Linked DNA regions of Drosophila melanogaster. The gene in region 2 interacts genetically with the main gene of each other region. Each region holds a gene or a part of one and is shown on either strand. Other genes may lie near its edges. The genes, in order: Hayan and Spn28Dc.

Evidence for each region.
Region 1: of Spn28Dc (region 2) and Hayan, changing one suppresses a phenotype caused by changing the other (phenotypic suppression), as found in Drosophila melanogaster (one study listed by BioGRID).

The regions. Positions count from the first base shown.
Region 1 is NC_004354.4:18,479,207-18,485,449, forward strand, and holds Hayan (hayan), read right to left. Parts: upstream 4,567-6,243; 5' UTR 4,235-4,566; intron 3,438-4,234; 5' UTR 3,431-3,437; coding exon 3,349-3,430; intron 3,284-3,348; coding exon 3,103-3,283; intron 2,928-3,102; coding exon 2,151-2,927; intron 2,023-2,150; coding exon 1,955-2,022; intron 1,927-1,954; exon of another isoform or gene 1,860-1,926; coding exon 1,588-1,859; exon of another isoform or gene 1,523-1,587; coding exon 1,336-1,522; exon of another isoform or gene 1,279-1,335; coding exon 932-1,278; 3' UTR 777-931; downstream 1-776. Other genes in the region: psh (persephone), read right to left, coding at 5,443-5,789, 5,848-6,031, 6,090-6,243. UniProt on the Drosophila melanogaster protein: Serine protease which, by converting prophenoloxidase 1 (PPO1) into its active form, plays an essential role in the melanization immune response to physical or septic wounding.
Region 2 is NT_033779.5:8,003,860-8,009,223, forward strand, and holds Spn28Dc (serpin 28Dc), read right to left. Parts: upstream 3,352-5,364; 5' UTR 3,274-3,351; coding exon 2,573-3,273; intron 1,702-2,572; coding exon 792-1,701; 3' UTR 689-791; downstream 1-688. Other genes in the region: Wwox (WW domain containing oxidoreductase), read right to left, coding at 1-175, 238-329; CG12560 (uncharacterized protein), read right to left, coding at 4,583-4,793, 4,859-5,032, 5,089-5,336. UniProt on the Drosophila melanogaster protein: Serine protease inhibitor which is required for pupal viability and plays an essential role in regulating the melanization reaction.

The DNA.
Region 1 (6,243 bases), on a different chromosome or scaffold from region 2:
GGTCAGGTCAGGCCGACGGACTCATGAATTCGGGCGGTGGTCACTCAAAAAAAAAATGTAACAAAAATAAAAGTAAATAAACAAACACGACGCGAACTCGGGACTTGTGTTAGTTCAGTTTAGTTTAGTTCGATTCGGTACACTTCAAACGCCTAACGGTAATCGTGTTCAAATTCCAACGGATTCGAGACTTTATGTGCGTTAGGAATGCACCTTCACCGCTGAGCAGGCAAACCGACAGCTTCGCAGTCTCGCGACCAACTGAAGCCCGAGGAGTCCTGGCAGCGCCATTTAAGCAGCTCCCACTTTTGCTGCCCGCAGGAGTGCGGCCTTGTGGGGAGAGCGGGGGCTGGTTTGCTGCGAGCGGACGGGGCCAGTGGGTCGGTGGGTGGTGGGTGGTGGGTGGTGTTTGGCTGGCTGTTTGGCCGCAGTAAGCCGGCAGCACTTTGTAACGGCGGCGAACAGCTGACTGCAAAAGCTCAGTAAGCAGCTTTTGTCGCAACTTTCGAATGCCACACCTGGCAATGCCGCGCGCAGCGAGCTTTTGCGCTCTCAGTTCTGTTTACGTACGAGCGGGTGAGGCGCAGACAGCGATAGTTTGACAGCTGTCCCGAAACCAGGGCTGCTGCAAAACGTCAGTGGGTAAAGTGCTTGGCACTTATGATACCTCTTAGTTGCCTCAGATGTTTGAATTTCTATTACACTATTATACTACACTATTATACTACACTATTATACTACACTATTATATAAAATAAAATCGATTCTAACATTTTGAGGAACTGAATGAACAACCCTTATGGCTTCTTTAATGACACTCACTGAATTGTGTCGAACTTTGTCTAAAGACAAAATACCTTTATCAAACACTTTTGATGGGAAACACCATCCGATCCGTTCAAACTAAATTTATTGCAGATCAAATGACGCCTCAGAAACGATTCGACGGCCACACGATACCCTCGATATAGTCGAGAAAGGAGGAGACGCGTGTGTAGAGGCCCGGGGTCTTGGTGGCGCAGCCGAAGCCCGAGGAGATTACGCCTACGATCGAGTAGGTGCCGTCGACGTCGTCAATCTCCAGGATGAGAGGTCCACCGGAATCGCCCTGACAGGCGTCCTTTCGCTGATTCTTGTCCGCCGCGCACAGCTGCGAGGCAATCACGCCCCTTCTCAACGTCCGGTTGGCACTCGGCTGTTCCGCAAAGGATGCATTGCACTCGTCGGCCGGCACCAGATCCAGAGCCGCCCGCAGCAGGATCTTTGATACGGCACGATCTGTAAAGACACCATCGAACACAATCCAATCCTGCAGTTTACGCACACACAACTTACTGGTCACATTCATTACACCCCAACCGGCGACGAAATATTTGTAGTTCGCTGGCGGATCACTGCGATCCGTGTAGAGACAGGCGGGACGGATGACATCGGACTCCTTGGCATCCTCGGCCAGCTGCAGAATGGCGATATCGTAGTACTTACTACTGCCGGAATAGTCCGGATGAATTTGAACATCAATCTGCCAATGGAAGTGAGTGAGTTCAACTGGTTATCTCGCACCATGTGTCACATGGCGATACCAACCACATTGATGTCCTGGTAGCCCGGCTCGGGATTTTCGATGTTCAACGCACCCAGACGGACGAAACTGGGTGTGCTATCGTCACTATTGACGCAGTGAGCCGCTGTGAGGACGAATCGACTGGCGATGAGCGATCCACCACATCGGAACGCTGCGCTCCCGAAGGAGTTGTACGCAATGGCCGCCATGTGGGGATAGACGCCCCTATCCACCCGTTCGCCGTCCAGAATGTGCACCGTCAGGGGCTTTCCACCGGATCGGATCTTCTCACACGCTATCATCAGATGATAGGAAATTTAATATATATTGTATATAATATATCTCCAAAGATATTTTCATATAAAATATTCCAAAGAATGCGCAACTCACCTGCCACCGACGGTCGCTCCTTCTCGGGAAGATTGACGCGGGAGGGATTGGGATTGGGCGTCGTTGGCCTGCGAAAGACAAGGTATATCAGCGATTAAAATTGGGCTCACGATGGTTTCCACCTGAGACAGAGACTGCATGCGGCTCCCTGGCTGAGGCCAACTGATGTCCATGCCAAAAGAATGCTCAGACAAACCGCGTCTCGGCTGGATTGAAGATGCTGGGAGCTGGATCCGCGTCTAGATTATTGCTGACATCGTTCCAGGGTTCCTGGGGCTGGGTATCCTTGTCTCTGTCCTGGCCCCGAAATCGGTAGGGTTCAAAGGGATCGATCAATTGCGTGGGCGTGGGTGCGGGTGTGGGCGTGGGCGTGGTTTGCAACACCATGGGCACTTCTCGAGCAGGCTCAATCTGCATTCCCTGCTCCCGCAGCCGATCGTTGACCAAATGTATGAGGTTGTTATTATTGGGGCTTGGATTGGTATTGAAATTGGAATTATTCGGTCTTTGGGGTCGTGATCGAGGCGTGGTCAGTGGACGGTTCACAATCCGTGGCTCACGGCCCCACTCCGGTTCCATAAAAGATCTCTGGGTGCTTGCAATGGGTTGAGTCTTCGAAGGAGCTATGCCCCAAGCTCCAACGCTTTGGATGGGCAACTTCATGGGTTCGTGTGTGGGCAACTTCATTGACTCGTGAGTGGGCATCTTCATGGACTCGTGAGTGGGCGTCTTCATCGACTCCTGTGTGGGCAACTTCAAGGACTCGTGGGTTTTCTGCGGCTTTACTGTGGTGCTTAGCAGCTTGTTGAAGTCAAAGAAGTTCTGATTCTCGTCCAGCCGACTTTCCCGCTCCCTTTTCCCCTCGGTGGTCGTTGGAGGCAGTGGCTCCGGTTCTGGTGTTGGTTCCCGCTTGGGTTCGGGTAAACTGCTGCGCTCGGAGCTCGTAGCATGGAATTGGACCTCACGACCTCGACTGTGGGAGTGAGAGGTGTTAGTCTGGCGTTGGACGCCGGTAACCGGGGCATGCAACATCGGTGGGCACACAGCACAAGCGGGACACACACAAACACATATATATGGTGCACAAACAGGAGGACAAAAAACAGGACAATAGAGCGCAGAGGCCAAGGAGACAAGGACACGCTTACTCAGTGGCACAGCAGGCGACGGTGGGGCAGCAGATGATCTCCTCGCGGGCGCCAAAACCACAACTCGGCACCTGGCTGGTGGACAGCGTGCCCGACTTCAAATATCCTCTGATGTTCTCGCAGGCTGAGGAGGAGAGGCAGATTCCCGGTATGTCCGACCTCACCTGGCAGGGATCGCCCTCTGCAACGAGAAATGCGGCCAGCTGGCAAGGATCTAGTGTACGCGCCGCAAGACATCCTACATACCATCCCCAACTGTTACATACGCAGAAGTTGTCAGCACCAGGAGACCCAGAAGGAAGTACCTTCTCGCCGAGATCATCGCCATCGGTCAGCTGAAATTCCCAAAAGCATTAGTGAATCCCATTCTACTTGGTAACGCTTATCAGCCTTATCAAAACCGAAAATGGAAAACATCATTTTCACAACAGGGGAAGCCCTCGTCGAAATGGTAAGGGAAAAACAAACGAGATCTGTTTCTTTCAATCGACTCGACTTTCAGCTGATTAAACCGATCCACATCCACTGCCATTGACCCATTTACGATTTTTTTTTTTTTTTAATATGGGAACACCACAAAAGCATTCTCCATATGAACTGCTCGATTGTAGTAAGCCAGACTTGATTGATTTCATTTGAGAGACTTTGTGTTGATGGAAAGTTTGTGTTTGCCGATTACGACGAGCATTTCACCAGCAGCGCCGCCAGGTGAGATCAGATGATTCATGGGAGGCATGCCGCTGGGATTTTACCACCGGCTAAAGACGTGTACTGCCAACTGATATCGCAGCTACGTCGGTAATAACCGATACGAAAGTAACACCTGACAATTATGCTGCTCAATTGAGCAGAGAGTCGTCAATGTGTCTGCAGTTCAACTGAATCATATATATCCGATTGAAGCAATGCAAAAGTGTCATGACATCACCTGTTATCGGCCCAAATGAAATTGTATTAAATAGGTATGCGATTGCTAATCAGCTTCCGGCCTTCCGCAGTAATTGCCCATTGTAAACACGACGAAATCAAAAGTAGAACATGCAATACATAGCCCCACATCCCCACATCCCGCAATCCCAATGTCCATTGTCCACTGTTCACTGTACACCGACGTCCGCCTTATCGAACGCACCTTTGACACGACCTTTTTTCGGTCTCTGATAAGGGAGTAGTACGTCTACGTATCGATGTCGTTTATTGAGTGCGTCGAGCACTGTGGTGACTATGGCAATCGGGCACCGCACAATACAATACAATTTAATTCAATACCACATAAACAAAACAAAATCCAAGGGAATTACGAAAAAAAAAAATAAAAAATAAAGAAAAAAACACCGCAAAAAGCACACCAGCAGAGTCAATAAAGCTAAAAACCGGTGGCTATCACAAATCGCGGCGGTATGGAATCTGCTGGCTATTTTCCCGGCTCTGACCGCTCAGCAACGCATCGCCCAAGCAACTGAAGCCAAGCTTCTGAGCCCCAGCTGGAGCTGGAGCTGGAACCGATGAGGCCCATTTAGACGTCGACCAAGAAGCGCCGGACCCAGCAGCTGATAGCACCCAGAGCCGATCCTCTCCCGCTGAGCGGCGAACCGGTTTCCCATTCCACCACTTCGCAGAATCGCAGAACGATCCGAAGCGATCAGAAGCCAGAGCACACAAAGCACAAAGGCAGCCTGTAATTAGCGAGTGGGTAAGCAACAGGCGAGCGGTATGGACTAAAGGATACCGCGTAAGGTCTATGCTGCGCTTGGTGACCCCGATATTTACACCTTTAAAAGTCGAGTATAATTGTGTCACAGAATCGTGTTTTAGAACTTACCATATATATAGTTTCAATTGCAGTAATCTTGTTTTTTTTTTTTTTGTATAATTCTTCTCTAATTAAAGTGGTGACCCAGATACTTACTTTCTTGCCTAGGTTGCGACCTAGGTGGTGACCCAAGAAGTCCTTTTCAACTTATAGTCTGAAACATATGCTTAAAATTTAAATTTCTTATGACAAATCTTTCTGAAATAAATGCATTCTGTTTGTATTTCCCCATTTTTTTTATACAGTGCAGCAATTCAATAAAAGTGGTGACCCAGAAATCCCTCTAAAATTAAACAGAACCAGAAAAATCACTTCACAGAGTTCTGGAAACCGAACTGCCAGAAATAATATTGTACCGATTGATTATATCTTAAAACGTATCTACTTTATTGGTATTAAATGGTTCGATCGCGGTGCTCATAGAGATCACAGATGAGTGTTTGCCAATTGCGATGGATCAGGCAGTCCTGATCCCAAATAGAAATAATATACATACAAAAAAAACAAAAACTTTACTTTTCCCAACTTTACACCCGATTGTCCGGCCAGACAATGCCCTCGATAAAGTCCAGATAGGACGAGACACGCGTATAGAGTCCCGGTGTGACGGTGGCGCATCCGAATCCCGACGAGATGACGCCCATGATGGTGTACATGCCGTCCTCCACGTTGAGCTCATGAATGAGCGGCCCACCGGAGTCGCCCTTGCATGCGTCGGCGATGAGCTTTTGATCAATGGCGCACAGCAACGAATCGATCACGCCCTGCTTGAGCAACCTTATGGAACCGGGCTGCTCCGCATAGGATATATTGCATTGGTCCAGAGGCACCAGCTCCAGACCAGCGCGCAACAGGATCTTAGATCGCGCCCGAGCTGCGGATGGTTAGCCATTAGTGGAAGTGGAGGATATGGAACTTTTTGTGCTACCCACTGGTTACATTTAGGACGCCCCAACCGGCGACAAAGAACTTGGAGTTCGATGGCGGATCGGTGGCATCCGTATGGAGACAAGCGGGCCGGATGTTATCCGTCTCGACGACATCACGTTCCAGTTCCAAAATGGCGATATCGTTGTACTTATTGCCCACATACTGCGGATGGATCTTAACGCTTCGCTGAGATATGGTATCGATCAGAATGGCTATAACTTAATGCATAAGCACAGTGACTCACTATGACGATATCCTGGTAGGAATGGTCTGGATTTTCAATGTTCACAGCTCCCAAGCGAACAAAGGCCGGCGTATTGGCATCGGTGTTGACACAATGTGCGGCGGTCAGGACGAAGCGACTGGCGATTAGCGATCCGCCGCATCGGAAATCGGTG
Region 2 (5,364 bases):
GGCGAATGCCAAACGAGGATCCACATTCGTTCGTTGCTGCGTCTCCTTGTTGAGGAACATGAAACGCTTTCCCTGCTCATCGTAGTACTTCTCCCAGCCCAAGGGTAATTCGCCCGTGATCCGTTTGGAGCGACCCGTACGTGGATGTGTCCACTGTGATGTTTTTCCCTGCTGGCTAAATGGTGCAATTAAAAAATATCAGACAATGTTTACGACTCCACTGGACTTTTGACTTACTTCACATAGCAAACGGTGCCGTCATCGGTGGCACGTTCCTCCCAGCCGGGTGGCAGCTCATCCTCGCTATCTGTGTCGGGTAGGGCTATCATTTCGAATCAATTTAAACTTATTTAAAGCTTTATTTCTAAAGTATACACTTTTTATTGCGAAAAAGAATACAAAATAATTGAAGATATCGATAACATGCGGCTTAAGCGATAACTGCCGACTAAATGAACAGCTGTTCCGTTAAACGAAACATGTTACCCGCTAATAATCAGCATCTCCGTTTAACAGAGCTTTTAACCGCAACCGGTTGATTGGCGGTTGTTTTTTAAATTTAAATGATTTGTAGAAACTTAGCGCCTTGAACATTTGTGGGCATTGTTTAATCTGCCTGCTGTACGGTACATAGGATAATGTGAAAAGATTCAACAGCAACAAAAACCAATACAAATTTTCATAATTTACGTTTTAATTTATTTTTCATCATTGTGAATGATTTATTAGTTTCCTAACTATAAAGTCAACGAACTTAGGTGCTAAAGCTTAATAACTTATGATCCTAGAAACTAAGCGGCCGCCGGGGGCTCATTTATGAGTCCGTAGAAGAGCACCAGTTTCGTGGGATCGTGGCGCACAAGGACCATGAATGGAGTGTCTCCGCGGAAGAGGACATCGGGACCGGATTTCTTGAGGTATGTGACCGAAGACGCCGCCGCCTCCGTGCCCTGCTCGTTGACGGTGAAGTCCACTTTGTGAACAATGTCATCCACCACCAGATCGGAACGTGCTCCACCCGTTCCGGCTCTGCGCTGTGCCTCCAGATTCTGCAGGCTGTTGCCGCCCAGCGCATTCGTCCTCGTGGCCTCGTTGGTGGCGATGAGCGAGAGATCATTCTGCACCGCGCTAAAGATGCCGCCCAGCCCCATTCGCTGCATGACTGTCTTCAAGTTCACCGACTCCGTAAGATGCATCTTTGGGAATGCCACCAGAGCGGCCCGTCTGTACATTCGGCTGATCATGCTCTCGATCTTATCCGCCGTCAGACGTTTCTGCAGTGCCATTAGCTCCCTCACCGACGACTTAAACGGCTGGATGATGTACATGGTGCTCAGATTTCCCCTGTACGGCAGTCCAATGATCTTGCAGCCCAGCTCGTGATCCTCGTGATACGGATATGCACCACCGGTGGCCATCATCTGCACCCTCATCACCGGCTCCGTTCCCTCGCCATTCGGATAGAAGTTATCCGGACGTGTGGCTGACTCTATAAAGTCCGTTTCCCAGAATGCCTTAAAGTACAATGCGTTGGCCAGAATCATCCTGGTGGTCTGCGGAATATCGCTGGCGATGATGTTCTCGATGTGATTCTTTGTGTGCTGCGCCACATAAGCATTGATATTGTATCGTGCTGTCGCCGGACTGCCCTCGAAATCCTGAATCTGCAGATCCGAGGCGTAGACCTCGACGATCACCCGTCTGGAATTGCACAAAAGTGGAGCTCATGAGTAATAAATCAACAAGGCGCAGCTATTAGTATGCCAACAACGTTGTGCAAAGTGGAGCGATAGTATTGGGGAACTGGGGATGGGTTGGAATTGCAATATCTGGTGAGCTAAATAATAACTTGGGAAAGTAGTTTTTTTCCGCTTTTTTTGCAATGTTTGATCAGCTATAATTGAAGAATAAATAAATAATTAAATGTCTTAGTTATGTTTTTAAGTTAATCCATTCTTATCAGTGCTTTTTATTTGCCAAATTTTTGGCAATTCATTGTACCTACTATTTGACCTAAGGTTTCTAATTAAATATTTGATTAACTGATAATTCCAATTCCAATTCCGATTTAATTTTATTCAAGTTCTCTACATAAAAACAATCGCACTAAAAGTTCTTACTAAATTTGTTTGTCAATGGTTCCCATTTATATTCTAAACTTTATACGTACGTACGTACATATATATTTCTCAATGAAAGCTTGGGCTTTAAAGATTCATAAATATAAGTGGAATTACACGCTCATTTCTACACAGAAAAATATATTCTAATATTTTCTCGTTGTATATTATCTTCGAATATAAAATAAATACTTCCTTTTGGAGCACCACCATCAAGAGACACTAAACGCTTGATGATAATGGGTGAGATCATTTTGCTGGTACAATGAACCTGTTTCCCTCACTTGGCATTCAGAAAAGGAGATCACTTTAGCCCGCATGGCCTTCAGTTTTTCACGGTGTAAAACCTCAAGGCGATCGCTAATCGTTTGGCATTTCCCAGCACCCATTCCCAACCAGATATCGCTATAGTTCCAGTTTGCAGCCGGATAATTATCCGCTGCTCGGCTCACCTGTAGTCGGGATTGAGTGTGTAGCCGGTCTGTGTGAACAGTCCATTGGCCAGGTGCACCTCATGAGCACCGGGTCGCTGGGCCCGTCGATTGGATCTCATCGCGCTGCTCGCCCGCCAATCGGTCAGCGGTCGTCCTGCGGAGATCGCCTCCCTGGTGGGCTGTTGCAGATCCTGCAGCATCAGGCCGAACTGTTCGTGCAGCCTGGACGTGTCCGGAATATCGAAGACCGTGGACAACTCCTCGTAACTGCGACCCTTGGCGCCCAGGAGCAGCAGAGCCAGCGAGTGTACAATGCTCAGGGGAGAGTATATCTGGGTTTTACCGTTGGCCAAATGCTGGCCCAGAATGTTGGCAAAGTTCAGCACACTGTTCGCAATCCGATCAGAGGTGGCCAGATCCACATAGCCGTTGGAGTAGGCAGCCGGAAGGTTGGAAGGTTTCACCGAAGTGCCGGATATGCGATTCAACGCAGGGTCATTCTGGTTGCCAAGGCCGTTCACAAGGCCGGGCGATTGAAGGGGCACCGCAGGCGGTATCGCCTGAATGTGCTGCTGCGCCTCCTGTTGCATCTGATGCCGCCGCTGCATCAGTCCATTGATGTAGGCCATCGTTTCCGGGGTCCTCAGGTCATCACGAAATAGTTCCGATTCACAGCACACCGAACTCACGAGCAAAAGTGCCAAAAGCAAGCGCCACATTTTGTAATTTTCTTTTTGTTAATCTCGAACGCAACACACAGAACGAACTTTATATATATATATATATATATATATATTTTTTTTTTTTTTTTTAGAGGCAAACGCGATGTGGCTGTGCGAGTTGTTAAAGCCAGACTGAATGATTGGCGCTGAGCGCGCATCTTTATAAAACTGGAATCGGAAACTTGTTATCAAGCAAAAACGCTCCTTCAAGTCCCCGATCTCTCGCGCTCTGCATCCCCAGCTGCTCTCGGATCTTGGCGAGCTTGGATCTGGGAGAGGTTTCGTCGACGAGTCACTGGTTATACCCCGGCTTTGTTTACATGGCTGACCCGTGTCTGCACTTGTTATTGATCTTCATCGATCGGTACTTTCTCACGTACTCATGTACTGCCCCCCGCCCATTCATATCAGCATTCTGCGAACTTTGTTGCGGAAATCCATGGCAGCCCTCTCCCATCCATTTGTATCTATGCATGTATGTACGTACGTATGTATCTCAAACCCGTGACGTGCATACTGATATTCTCTCGCAACCGGTGAGTAAATAGTTTAAATATTTATTAGCTATATACTATAGTCATTATGTTTGGTGCGTATTCTCGGTCTCGTCATTGGAAAGTTCGCGGCACATTGACACGGTGATGGAGTCGTGGTGGGATTTCCCAGCGCTAGGATAAGATTTGTGCTCATCTGTTGGGCCATCAGAACTAAACAAATATGAGATGGGTTTTATTGGTAATAGATAATGCCGTCGTACAAGCCCGTCGTAAATTATATTTAAGCGTTACTTGCTTTATGAGTTATTTTAGATTCGATGACTCATTTTTGCTTCTGTAATGCCAGTTACCAAAAATAGTTAATGGTAGTTGTGTAAGTTTTTTATCTATCATGTAAGTTATTAACTCTAAGTTAGTTAGTTTCAGCTTCAGTTTATGGTAAACTGATCATAATAAAAACCATCGACCATTAAAGTAAATATTATCCGGAAATTTAACTTGACAATTTAAGCACAAGTTTCATTATAAAAAATATTAAAAATGAAACGTGCAAAGGAAGCGTAAATAACTTCCTTTGAAATCATTAACATTTCAAGATTATATCATTTTATATTCACCAATTTTATCCAATATATTATATTAAATTTACATTACAATCCATCTCAATTTAATTCAAGCTCAAATTCATGGGTGCTCAGCTATAATTGAATGAGCTGATTCACTCTTCTTTATTATTAAAAAACCAATCATTTCCTACACTATATTTATTTTAATAATATTTATGTTAGTTTTTGGCTTCTTCTCAGTTGCTAGGCAGCCCAGTATGTATTGTCTATAGCACGGAAACCCAGTTTCTCGAACATGCTCCTCGAGGGGGTGTTCTTCGTTACTACTGGCGCCAAAACTTGATCTCCCGCTGCGGAAATCTTCTTAGCCATCGACTTCACCAGCAAGCTGCCGAGACCAAGGCGTTTATGTGACTCCAGAACCTGCAGCAGACCCAGGGATCCAATCGGCAATCTAAACAGGAAAGTTAATTAATTAATAAGTTTTTATATACATTTATATACAGTTCGATGGCTTACCGCAGACACCAGGCAACCAACTTTCCCTTGTCGTCATAAGCACCCAAATTAATATTATATTTAATTAAACTTCTCACAAAGTCTATAGAGCCGGGTTTATTATGTGGCCAGTTTTCATTGATGATTTCGGCATCTTCGATGGTCAAGTGCTGTAGACTTAAGCCCGGAGGAACCCTAAATTGAAATTATTCGTTTCATTGAGAGTTATAGAGTATAAAGTACAAACTCACTGAATGTTAAATGTATCTACGAGTTCTTTGCTGGCCGCGTACCAAACGGTATCCACAGTGTGCAGCTTCTTGTTGGCATAATATTTGTTGCCAATATACTCCACCACAGGTTTCAATCGCGTAGAAAACCCAAAGAAATCGTATTCATTCTCAATGGACTTGAGGCATTCTAACGCTTTCGTCACTCGATCCAAATTTTCGCTCAGTGTGTTGAAGTAAATGTGGTTCATATGAGTATCCGAACGTAGCTGAGATGATTAGACAACATTCAATCAC